3 linked regions of the Kluyveromyces lactis genome follow. The protein of the gene in region 2 binds, or shares a complex with, the protein of the main gene of each other region. Links are inferred from orthologs where the notes say so. Each region holds a gene or a part of one and is shown on either strand. Other genes may lie near its edges. The genes, in order: NUP2, NUP188 and POM152.

Region 1 (3,563 bases), on a different chromosome or scaffold from region 2:
CCAGTTTTTATTCTGGGAAATTGTGAAGAAGTTCGAGCTTGAGACACATTCAGATGATGAGGAAGATACCTTGTTCAGCAATGAAGACACTGTTGATGAAGACACTAGATTACAAAGATTGGCTAAGCAAGGCCGATTCTTTGGCCATTTAATAGCAGAAGGTCACTTGAAACTTGATGCTTTCAAGCATGTTCCGTTAATGGCAGGACTCAACTCAGATGGAATAATCTTCTTTGATATTTTGCTTTTCCAGTTGTTCCTTTCCGAAGGTAAGGCAGCCGAAATAAAGATCAAACGAGATGGAAAGAAAACATTTGAGTATAACTCTGATGGTTTGTCTTCTTTGATCGAGAAAGGTATTAACATTCAGAATAAGAATGTTATTTTAAAAGCGCTAAGATGGTTTATATCTAAGCATTTTGATTATATCAAGTATATTTCAGGTATGAAAGGCTCAAAAGAACATGATAGAGAAAGTAGAAGACTGTCTTGGGCAGTTGCATCTTTCAAAAAACTGATAGAAGAGGAGCTCAAAGGTGCTGAAGATTGACTATTTTAAGTACTTTTTTTTGCCATTTTAATAGTTACACATGCATATATGAACTAAGTTCAAATAGTTCTATTAATTAACAGTTAAATGTACTTAATTTTACATCGGTGATTGAGCATCCTTGATCGCTTGTACTAATTTTCTACCATCAGCCTTTTGTTTCACTTTTACGACGTATGTGTCTAACCCTCCTTCCGCTTTAATTGCAGGACACTTAACCAAATTCTCATTATTTGGATCTAATGCTTCATAGGAAAATGACTTTATAATACTAGTATTTAGCAAAATATGACCCATACCGTCTGACCTACAAAGTATTCTTGCTTTTGTATTGTCTTCCTTGTTTTGCAAAACCTTCAATTCACCTACACCACGGGAATCATAGGCTTTCGTCTCAGTATTGAAAATCATTAGCTTGGCGCGTTGCGAAAAGAGTAGATTCTCATTCTCCTCACCGTTCGATAGATTCAAAGTTTTAGATGGCTCTTCTTGTGCCTCAGCAGATGCGTCTTCGCTGTTTTTTTCACTAACTTCCTTGGCAGTATCCTTATCAGATGTTGGAGCAGATGAGGCAAAGGGTAAAGAGATCTTGAAGCCAGATGATTCACCTTGTGGAGGCGCCTCTTCAGATTTGTTGGCACCAAAACTGAATGCTGGTACAGTTGATGCTGCTGTTGCCCCAAACGTAAACGTAGGTTTTTTCTCATCTTTTTTGTCGGTCTCCTGTTTTCCAAAAGTGAAAGGAGTGGAGCCTGTTGAAGCTTTACCAAATGTAAATGAAGGTTTAGATGACTCAGCCGGTTTTTCAGAGGTTGTTGAGGTACCGAATGTGAAAGAAGGCTTTTTAGCTTCATCATTACTGTTTTCCTTGCCCATAGCTCCAAATGTAAAGGAAGGCTTTGATGAATCTTTGTTTTCAGTTGCTGTCCTTTGCACTGGAGCAGAGAAGCTAAACGATGGTTTAGAGTCCGCCGATGGAGCAGGGGCAGAGAATGTACCGAAGGTGCTAGCTGGCTTTGCTTCTTCCTTTTTATTTTCACTTTCTTTGGCCAAATCTTTATTGTTGCTGAAAGAAAATGAGAACGGAGATGATGAATTACCATTATCAGCCTTATTTGACCCAAAGGCAGGAAGAGCTGGTTTGCTTCCCTCATTTTTCTCTATGGATGGTGCGGACGCAGAAGGAGGGAATGTTGGTTTAGATTGTGAAGAGTTCCCAAATATACTAGCTGGCTTGTTATCCGTTGGTTTTTCAGCTGGTTCAGATTCCTCTGTCCTTGAAGCATCATTCTTTGGTAAAGTAAAGGCACTGGACGATACAGTCCCATTAAACGTAAATTGGGGTCCCTTGATCTCTATCTCGCTGTCGCTATCGCTGTCAGGTTCCTTACGCTTATTCCCACCGAAGCTGAAAGGCGGATCAGACGTCGTTGGTTTCTTAGCCAAGACAAACTTTGGGCCTTCAACATTAACGGCTGGTTTTTCCTCTTCAGAATCACTATCGCTGTTAATCTCAATTTGTTCTTTTTTATCTTGCAGTCTCTCTTCCGTTACGGTCGTTGTCGGTTTAGTCACCTCCGAAGGTAGAGCAAATGATGGTGCTGCGCTAGGCTTTGCGAATGCAAATGGATTTTTAGGTTTCTCCACATTTGCTGATGTGGTACCAAATGTGAATGAGCTAGTTGGAGGAGCGTTTGCAGCGCCATTAGTTTTCGCTTCTGACCTTAACTGTTGCGAATAGGTCTTGTATTTATCGAACAGGAAAGAAATATCAGCAACTGGATCTGATTCCAATGTAGAATTTATTTTATTTTTGAATTGCACGTTCAATGCCGTGAGTTTTTCGTTTAAGTCAGTGCCTTGAGGTTTCTTGTCATCCTTTATCACTTTGAACATGTTAGGTTTATCACCCGCAGTAAATCCTCCCATTTTCCTCTTTGGCATTGCAATTTTTCTGGTACTCATTACAGATTCGCTGGCAACGGCAGGTTTATCAAATGGAGTCTCGTCATCTGAAACATTATTACTATGTCCGTTCTCAAGACCTTCTCTGGTCATCTGAGAACCCGCAAATCTCTTTGACATATCCTACAGTGAGTATTGTGCTTGGAAAGATCAGCTCAAGAGAAGTCACTTTCTTAATCAGAAACGAATTGAACTAACGGGAAGCAACCGGAAGTAGCAGAAAAGGAGTTTAAGGATTGCTGATGTGTAAGCATTCAGACATCAACATGAGAATTGATGATACTAACACCAGAAATAATAATAAAGCAGCTCGAAATTCTAAATCCTTCAATATACTGTTGACTCGTGTGGGATGACTTATGCTGAACACGTGACTACATGTTATTCTGCTTGTGATGGGTTGCTCAGGGGAGTAAAAATGTAAAAAGTATTTAGCGAAACTTTCGAATCGCTTTCTCCTCCGATACCGGGAGTCGAACCCGGGTCTCCACGGTGAGAGCGTGGTGTGATAGCCGTTACACTATATCGGAATATAAAACGTTGTTATGCTTTCAGGGATTATTTGCAATAGCCACCGTTATAACCGACACACGTGCAATGATTTCTTACCTCATTAGTTGACGCAGGTGGCAAGTACGATGGCCGTAACACCATGTAGGACTTGTTGGTGTAAAACTTGCTAATCTATCAGATGAAACATCTGTTTTATAGCGCTCTTATTTTTAATGTTGTATTACGGGACTGTTTTGTTGGATCCAGACACCACGTTATATATCCGAAAGTTGAACTTTGTATATTTTCTCATGCGTTATTTCCTTCCTAAAGAGGAAATTATCTCCTTTCCAAAATGAGTCCATTTGTCGCAATCCTCGTTATCCTGCTTCACTTTCTCTGCTTCTCCGGTAGGAAGAGGAATACTTTGCGTCCTGGACAAACTCACTTCGGATTGAATATTCATTTTTTGATTTACATTGAATTGCAACTTAGAGATATTAACAAGTTGTTTAAAGTAGCACCTTGATTATTATAGGGTTATTTACTTTTGAGT
Region 2 (3,759 bases):
CATCTGGTGAGTCAGAACTTAAAAAGCGATTCGTTATGTCGTTTGCAGCTGATGATAGGACTTTAGTAATTTTAGTTTCTGGCGGATTAGATGGATCGATACCATAAATATTGTAAACGACAGTCGTAAACAAGATGGTTAAGTTTGTTCCTAGCTCATATTTCTCAGCTATGGAACGATAGTTCCAGTATTGATAACTTTCATAAACATGTATGAAATGCTGAAAGAATTTCGAAAGAATTTCCTTTTTCAGATTTTCTGGGAATTCTGTCTCTAGTGTTAGAGATTCTAGAACTAATTGTTGCGCCAATTTGATAATCTTGATTGTTATTGAGTAGTTTCCATTTGGTAATTCCATGGTGCCCAAGACACTAGAAATCAATCCGGATTTGCCATACCTATCAAGGAGTTCAGATCTTGCTAAATGCGACCATACGAACTGAGAAAAGTCATCTATGGAACTGATGAGTAGGTTGAGACAATGATCAATAACGTCATAGTCTCTTAAATGCAAAGATTGTTCGAAGACTTTGAAAATAACATCAAAAATGTAATCTTCTGTAAGATAGGTAGACATTTGTAGTAGAATATCGGCCGATTTCTCCACCGAGATACCACTTCCTATAACACTAGAAATTAGATCCAGCATTGATAATATCATTTCCTGAACATCAGAATCTTGAACACCAGCAGATGAAGTGGACAGATATCTATCGCATGCATTTTGAAGGACTCTACCCAATAATGACCAACCGTTATATTTATACAAGAACATCACGACGTCATCATTAGTTACTGAAGGTAAGATCTTAGCCTTCGTGTCCTTCGGAATTGGTAAGAGAACATTCCCACTAGGTTCCAACGGTACTCGAGCAAAGGTCTCACTCTTTATGGATATCAAATCTGTTGAGTGTGCATCATCAGCTAAGTCGTACTCTAGACTTCCCAATACAACCTCTTGGACATAGGTGGGAAGTTCCTTCCACTCAAAATTTGCAAATTCAGCATTCGCTGAGGTTATGTTTATCATTGGAATGAGTGACTCTTTCAACAGCGGAGCCTTTGTTTTTATCAAGAAGAATTTTTTCTCAAATTCTTTGTTTGTCAAGAACTTTTCCACATAATGAGTTGGTGCGTTACTGAGGACAGTTTTGATCATTTTGGAAGTCTTTATACTGATTGGAACGAAATACAACGAAAAAGTGATGAAGGAAGTCAGTATAGCCGCAAAGAAGGCTTGATCTTTGAATATTTGTGAAACCTTAGAAATCTCTTCGAAAACATTTTCATTCTCTGCAGTAAGGGCAAACTCTTTGATTAGCTTCGAAATGGGTTGTGAGTTGAAGACTTGCTGCACGAATTCCAGATTATTTTCAGGATCTTCTTCTAACAGATACGATTTGGAATATAAGATGAAAGACCAGTAGTATACAATAATTGCTGGCGGATCTGTGTTTATTATGAGATCTAGAAGCCTTCTGAAAGTCGCAGCGTCATTAAAAAAAGACGATTTTACGTCTATCGTGTCTTCGCTTGTATTATATCCTGTCATTATAATAGTATCCATTATCATTAAAGAATTTGCCATGTTGTAGATCTCTGATGGGACATCTTTATTATCCTTGAGTATGGCGAAATACTGTGTTTCTTCGAGCAACTCGTACCATTTTGTGATAATTTCCAGACCCACTGGTTGATTCAAGCTTACGAATGCGATCAAATTCAATAGATTTGTAATATAAATAAGATCATACGACATTAATGAGCTCTTATAAGAATCATTTTGCTCTGCTGAGCCGATAAGTGCTACACAGTTCTTGACCAGAAGAATTGCTTCTGATATCATTGTGGACCTATTCTTGTAGACAAGTTGTAACATGGAGCCCTTTAAAACTGGGAAAGAATCATGATTTAATAAAACGAGGGTTGTATCCAAGACACAGTTTCTTTCATGTAAGATCTGTTTAACGATGGTATCTTTTTCCATTGGACAATCTGGGAACCTGGTCCTGGTCTGCGAAATAACTCTCAAACACTCTTTTTGATGTACATTTAACGCAATTGAAAGCTCATTGGCCAATTTTTCGTCCTCTACCGTCACATTATATGAATAACCCCTCAATTGCAGCTGTTTTCCAACGGAATCAGTGTTTTCAACTGAGGTAAACCTCGAAAGATGAACCAGTATCTCTTCGTTGTCCTTCAAGAATTTATCGATTGCCTGGAAAGTAGGCTCATTATGTACCTTATCGTATTCCCCAGAGCGGAGAAACGCACAAATTCCAGCAAATGATAAAGATGACATGCTGCACGGTACACCTGGCCAGCGCAATAGCCTTTAGTTGACGTGAATCTGTACCACTGTCTCATCGTCTTAATTGTTAGATCGAATAGTTTCATTAAATATAGTTTTGTTTACATTAAAATTTTGCACTACATATGAGAGAGGGTAACATCAAAATATTGGACATGTATATCATAAAGGCATAATAAGAGGAGATGAGCTGTGCCAGGTTAACCTAACCGAAGAAGCTTACTGACCACTGACTGCTTTTAAGTTCATACATAGTACCATTTGTCCACTTCTTGTGGGATTGGTGTGTCATTTTGTTGATTAGGTTCAACTCTTATGTGAGTTCCCGCTCTGACAATGGAGGGAATCTCGGCCTCTGATCCATCTGCTTTAATTTCTCCCCTAACTAGAGCATTCCAGGCTTCGTGACATTCTTGTACCGTAGAAAGTGTAGATGCTTGGTCCTGGTACTCACCTTCGAATGCAAACACATTAGGTTGTTTCCCAGCAGGAATCTTGTAATCTCTGAACCATGTTCTAGTTGCATCCAAGAGACCAGGCATAACAGTGTCTACATCTGCCAACTTGTTCAATTTTATAGCAATGGGATCTTCAATGTCGATACAAATGACTTTCCAATCGAGTTCTCCATCGTCAATGAGGGCTAATGACCCTAGAAGCTTTACTTTTTTGATATCTCCCATTTTGGCGATGCTGGAACCAATTTCACAACAGTCCAATGGGTCATTATCACCCTTGAAACCGGGCAATACTTCAATAAGTGGCTGTTCCCATGTCTGTGGGATAGCCCCATAGTTATGAATGTATCCATGGTAAGGGAAAATGTTATTGACAAATCGTGGCTTGCCTTTCTTTATGTCCTGTGTGATGGGGTTAAATGGTTCGGTCTTACTGATTTCAAACTTCCCATTACTCCAACGTGGAACCTCTACGATCATGTTACATGTTTTGGCATCAACATCTAAGTCTAATGGCACATCGTGGAAATAGGACCCAATTTCACCGTTTGGCAGCTGCAAGTACTGTTTAAAAGACGATGAGTATTTGCTTCCAACCAAAACGTTGTGGTAGTTTCTAGCATGTAAATGGTTGCCAATCAACCTCAAATGTTGCGAAGCCCTTCTCATATCTCTAGACATCAATTCCCACACAGCAACTATGGAATGAATCCTTTCTGTGGGATACCCAGACTCGACTGGACCACGATTCCTTAGTGTTTGGTTGTAATTCGGTAAGCTTGAAATTTAATAGACAAATTATTATTTAATCAGTGATTAGTGGAAATATTACAAAAAGATAAATTAAAAGCTTACACAACATGGTAAGAGAAAATGGCTTAGATTGGATCTTGACGATTATTCCTCTCTCTGAAGATTATCTTCATCTTGTTCGTCAAACGGATTAGATACAACTTGCATTTGAGAATCATTGTAAGAAGGTGGAGC
Region 3 (3,759 bases), on a different chromosome or scaffold from region 2:
TTATTAGAAGAAGTCTCTACTAAATCATAGTTTAACGTGAAAGGAGGCTCACCACTGAATTTAATAGGTACCTTCGTTTTCCCTCCAAGACATAATTTTGTCTCTAGCTTCCCTGAAATCTTTGCACTAGGTTTCACTCTCATGCTGGTTTTGAATGTGTACTCTTTCGAATCTAAGGAGATAGGAGATGTGAAAAGTTCATTTGACAATTCGGTGAAAACAATTTCATAACTGCCTTCTGATGTGGGTGAATAAGTAAACTGGTTTCTGGTTCCTTGGGAGCTGAATTTTTTTGTATCATATAGTTTACGTTCTCCTTGCTCAGTTTTGTATATTTTTGTTTTGTAGTAAAAGGGAGGAACACCGGTAAAAGTAAGATCAAAATTCAAGCCGACCTGTCCAACACATTGATCTAATATTGGGGTTGATCTTACAGATAATTGAGGAGGAATTGGTTTAGTTATCAGAACATTAGATTTTCCAATCACGGCACCGTGGCAATACCTCGATTTTACTGAGAGCAAATTATAAGAACCTGGCTCATCAACTTTGAATTCTAATGTTTTATCATTGAATTGTTTTTCGAAGTATCTCACTTTGGAGTTGTTATCTTCATGGGATAACTGAACGATGAATGGAGCATCCTTGTTAAAATCGCCAGAGTCCAATTTGACTATTAAAGACCTTCTAACAGAACTGTCGGGATTCATTTTTTCATCCAAAGATACTCTTGGTAAGTCGTGCACGTAGAATCTGTGGATCAAATCATACTTTTCTCTTACTTGTGATGATAATGAGGAAAAATCAATGCTATTACCAAATCCATCCACAATTCTTTCGATAGAGTAAACATGTTCACCGTATTCTTTGGTTGAAGTTTCTAATGCGATATCTACAGGGTACGAACGAGCCCATTTTAAATCTTGGACATCTTTTTGACTGTAGAATTTTGAATTCGTTAGCAAAGGTGATTCAAAATATTCTGGTTGAAGTGATGAATCTTCTAGTACGTATCTTTGGCCATTGATTGTCTTAGTATAAGTCAATTTAAGAGGTGGAGCACCTTGTACCTGAATTGAAACCTCATCATTATCTCCAACACATCTATCATTTTCTCCCTTTCCGTTAATGGAAGCCAATGGGCAGTGAGGTAGCACTAATTGGGATTTGTATATTCTCAAATTGATATTATTAGTGTCTAGAACGGTTTTCAACTGGTAAAACCCGATTTTGTTAAGAGGTACAGTAAAGTAATGTATGTTACGATCAGTTTCTTCCTTTGAAATATCTGCCTTGAGTGGTTTTAAATCGTTCTTGGTGAAGTTCCACAGTTCACCTTCATTTGAGTATAGATCTCTGAACTCTAACTGGACTGTATTGATTGTGGATGATGAGTTGACTCTTATAGGTAGTTCAATGGCAGGACCAGATTGGTCCAGTGGTAGACAAAAAGACGAGTGGAAGGGATTCAAATATGCTGTATTTTCTGGCAAAATTTTAATGGTATGTGCACCTTTGAAGTGTTCTGCCGAATTCATAGCCTTTCTTGGGTTGACAGAGTCACCTGTTAAGGACAAGTCTCTGCTGTGATACTGTCTCCATAATGACAATAGAAGCGATACCAATGGGATACTTTGTTCACTGGAGATAAACAGTGTGAGGGTTGCGGATGAAATAATCTGCAAAAGCACTATCAGTGGTTTGAACTTTAATTTGGGTATTTTGAACGTGGGGAGACAGTAAAAGAACAAAGAGTCTATTACCAAATATTTTGAAATGAAGTTTAACCTTGAATTCGATAGAAAAATCCCAGATAATGGTATCCCACTCTTAAGTAGGATTAGATCGTATAGTTTGTAGCATTGAATGATAAAAAAAACGACGAAGGCTAATCTTCTCTGACTGGCTGCATCGAGAACTTCAGTAGAAATCAAAGGTAGCTCCTTAATCGATTCACTCGCTGGGCCATTCTTTGCTCTACTAGTGCTTGACTTCGATTTTCCTGTGTAATTGGAAAAACCGGATATACAAAATGGATCTTCTTTTGGTTTGTTGATCTCTTCATTTCTTCGATCGCTTATTCCTCCTCTGAACGAGTCTTTATCTCTATTTCCAACGTTCCTACGCCTACTATCACTCCACATCGATGGAGTATGTGTATAGAACCCATTTGTTCCGAAACTGGAATCCATTATCTAACTGTATATGCGTCTGAACTTATCTCAGCTTCCCTTTTCAACAGAATATGATTCTAAAGTGCCAATACGCAGAAGTTTAATAGAAAAAAATGGGATCACGCATACAACTTATCACTTAGTCGCTCGCTTTTTAATTGACGATTGGTATGTAACGGGTGCCTGGATCGCGATTGCTTGTTGATCCTAGCCTGCATCTGCATACATGAGAAGACCAAACATAAGCTTAAAGTTTGAACTTCTGTTTGTTGACAAGATCTGAATCGGATATATCATTATGTACGATTCAGGTTTCGCTTCTGATCAAGGTACAATGGTCAAGGACGCAGCAACTCTATATGATCTGCCACTACGTTGTGGTCTTAATATTCGAATTATAGCCTCTTGAATTCTTCGCCTATCCAGAATTACCAGTGAGATCGTTTGCATCGATATTATAATGTCGATTCCGTTGCATAGCTCCATTGCTTACGTCAAATTCCCGTCAAATTCCCGTCATCCTCTCATAAAACCCTAGTCAGAAGCAAGGAGGACATAAATGCTAGTAAGCAAATGTCTTTACCCCATCTGGCTAATGAATCCTGAATTAGGTAAGTTTTATCATGACCTCATCTGATAAAAACCTCGGCAAATTTGAATGCCAGATTCAGTAATAGTAATGATAGCTAAGGGTCCTAACATATATAATATATATATTTACCAGAGAGAAAAAGAATGTTTTGGTTGGAATCGAGATACTTCCATTGTCCAGGATCGTCTCCTTTTTTGAATCACAACTGGAGCACTGGAACTTATTTGTTTTCAACACCATATACAGCTCTCACGTTCGTCGTATATAACATTACAGAGGTGCATTTGAATCTCCTTCTATAAAAGAAGTTTAGAAATTTAAGGTTTTGATTTATTTGATTTGCACTCTTACAAATAAGTCATTTACGAGAAGAGAGTTTGCTAAAACACGATACGTTAGAATCTGTAAGAGTTTGAGGCGCTAGCTCAATAGAGGTCAGATATTCTGTGTTGTAAATTGGTGATAGTTCTGCTGTTTTCATTCTCTGTTTATTGGAATTTAGATAAAGGAACGAAAGACGGTAATTTATTCTTGGCACGTTACTGTTGGTACTTAAAGATTATCTAAACTGTGAAACTGCCATGCTTATACTATCTCGTGTATTCGAGAGGAACCATGTTGAAATTTTGAGGAAGTTTATGAAGTTTGTCGGACCTGGGATCATGGTCAGTGTTGCATACATGGACCCTGGGAACTATTCTACTAGTGTGTCAGGTGGTGCACAATTTAAATACAAATTGTTGTTCATCACATTCATTTCAAACATATTTGCGATTGTCTTGCAATGCCTCTGCATCAAGCTAGGTACAATCACTGGTTTGGATTTAGCTGAAAACTGCCGTCGTCATTTTTCAAAGCGTGTTAATTATATTCTATACGGGTTTGCAGAAGTTGCAATTATCGCAACAGACTTGGCGGAAGTGATTGGTGCTGCCGTTGCATTAAATATCTTGTTTAACATTCCCTTGTTATGGGGTGTGCTGTTGACCGTTT

What was found.
Region 1: NUP188 (region 2) and NUP2 share a complex: the UniProt entries of both Saccharomyces cerevisiae proteins name them as parts of the nuclear pore complex. The link is inferred for Kluyveromyces lactis from reciprocal best matches to the Saccharomyces cerevisiae genes NUP188 and NUP2.
Region 3: NUP188 (region 2) and POM152 share a complex: the UniProt entries of both Saccharomyces cerevisiae proteins name them as parts of the nuclear pore complex. The link is inferred for Kluyveromyces lactis from reciprocal best matches to the Saccharomyces cerevisiae genes NUP188 and POM152.

Annotation. Positions count from the first base shown.
Region 1 is NC_006038.1:545,625-549,187, forward strand, and holds NUP2 (nucleoporin NUP2), read right to left. Parts: upstream 2,636-3,563; coding exon 650-2,635; downstream 1-649. Other genes in the region: SGD1 (Sgd1p), read left to right, coding at 1-550. UniProt on the Saccharomyces cerevisiae protein: Functions as a component of the nuclear pore complex (NPC).
Region 2 is NC_006041.1:972,515-976,273, forward strand, and holds the start of NUP188 (Nup188p), read right to left. Parts: upstream 2,306-3,759; coding exon 1-2,305. Other genes in the region: inorganic diphosphatase PPA2, read right to left, coding at 2,560-3,453; RSN1 (Rsn1p), read right to left, coding at 3,670-3,759. UniProt on the Saccharomyces cerevisiae protein: Functions as a component of the nuclear pore complex (NPC).
Region 3 is NC_006042.1:1,588,931-1,592,689, forward strand, and holds the start of POM152 (Pom152p), read right to left. Parts: upstream 2,193-3,759; coding exon 1-2,192. Other genes in the region: putative divalent metal ion transporter SMF3, read left to right, coding at 3,348-3,759. UniProt on the Saccharomyces cerevisiae protein: Functions as a component of the nuclear pore complex (NPC).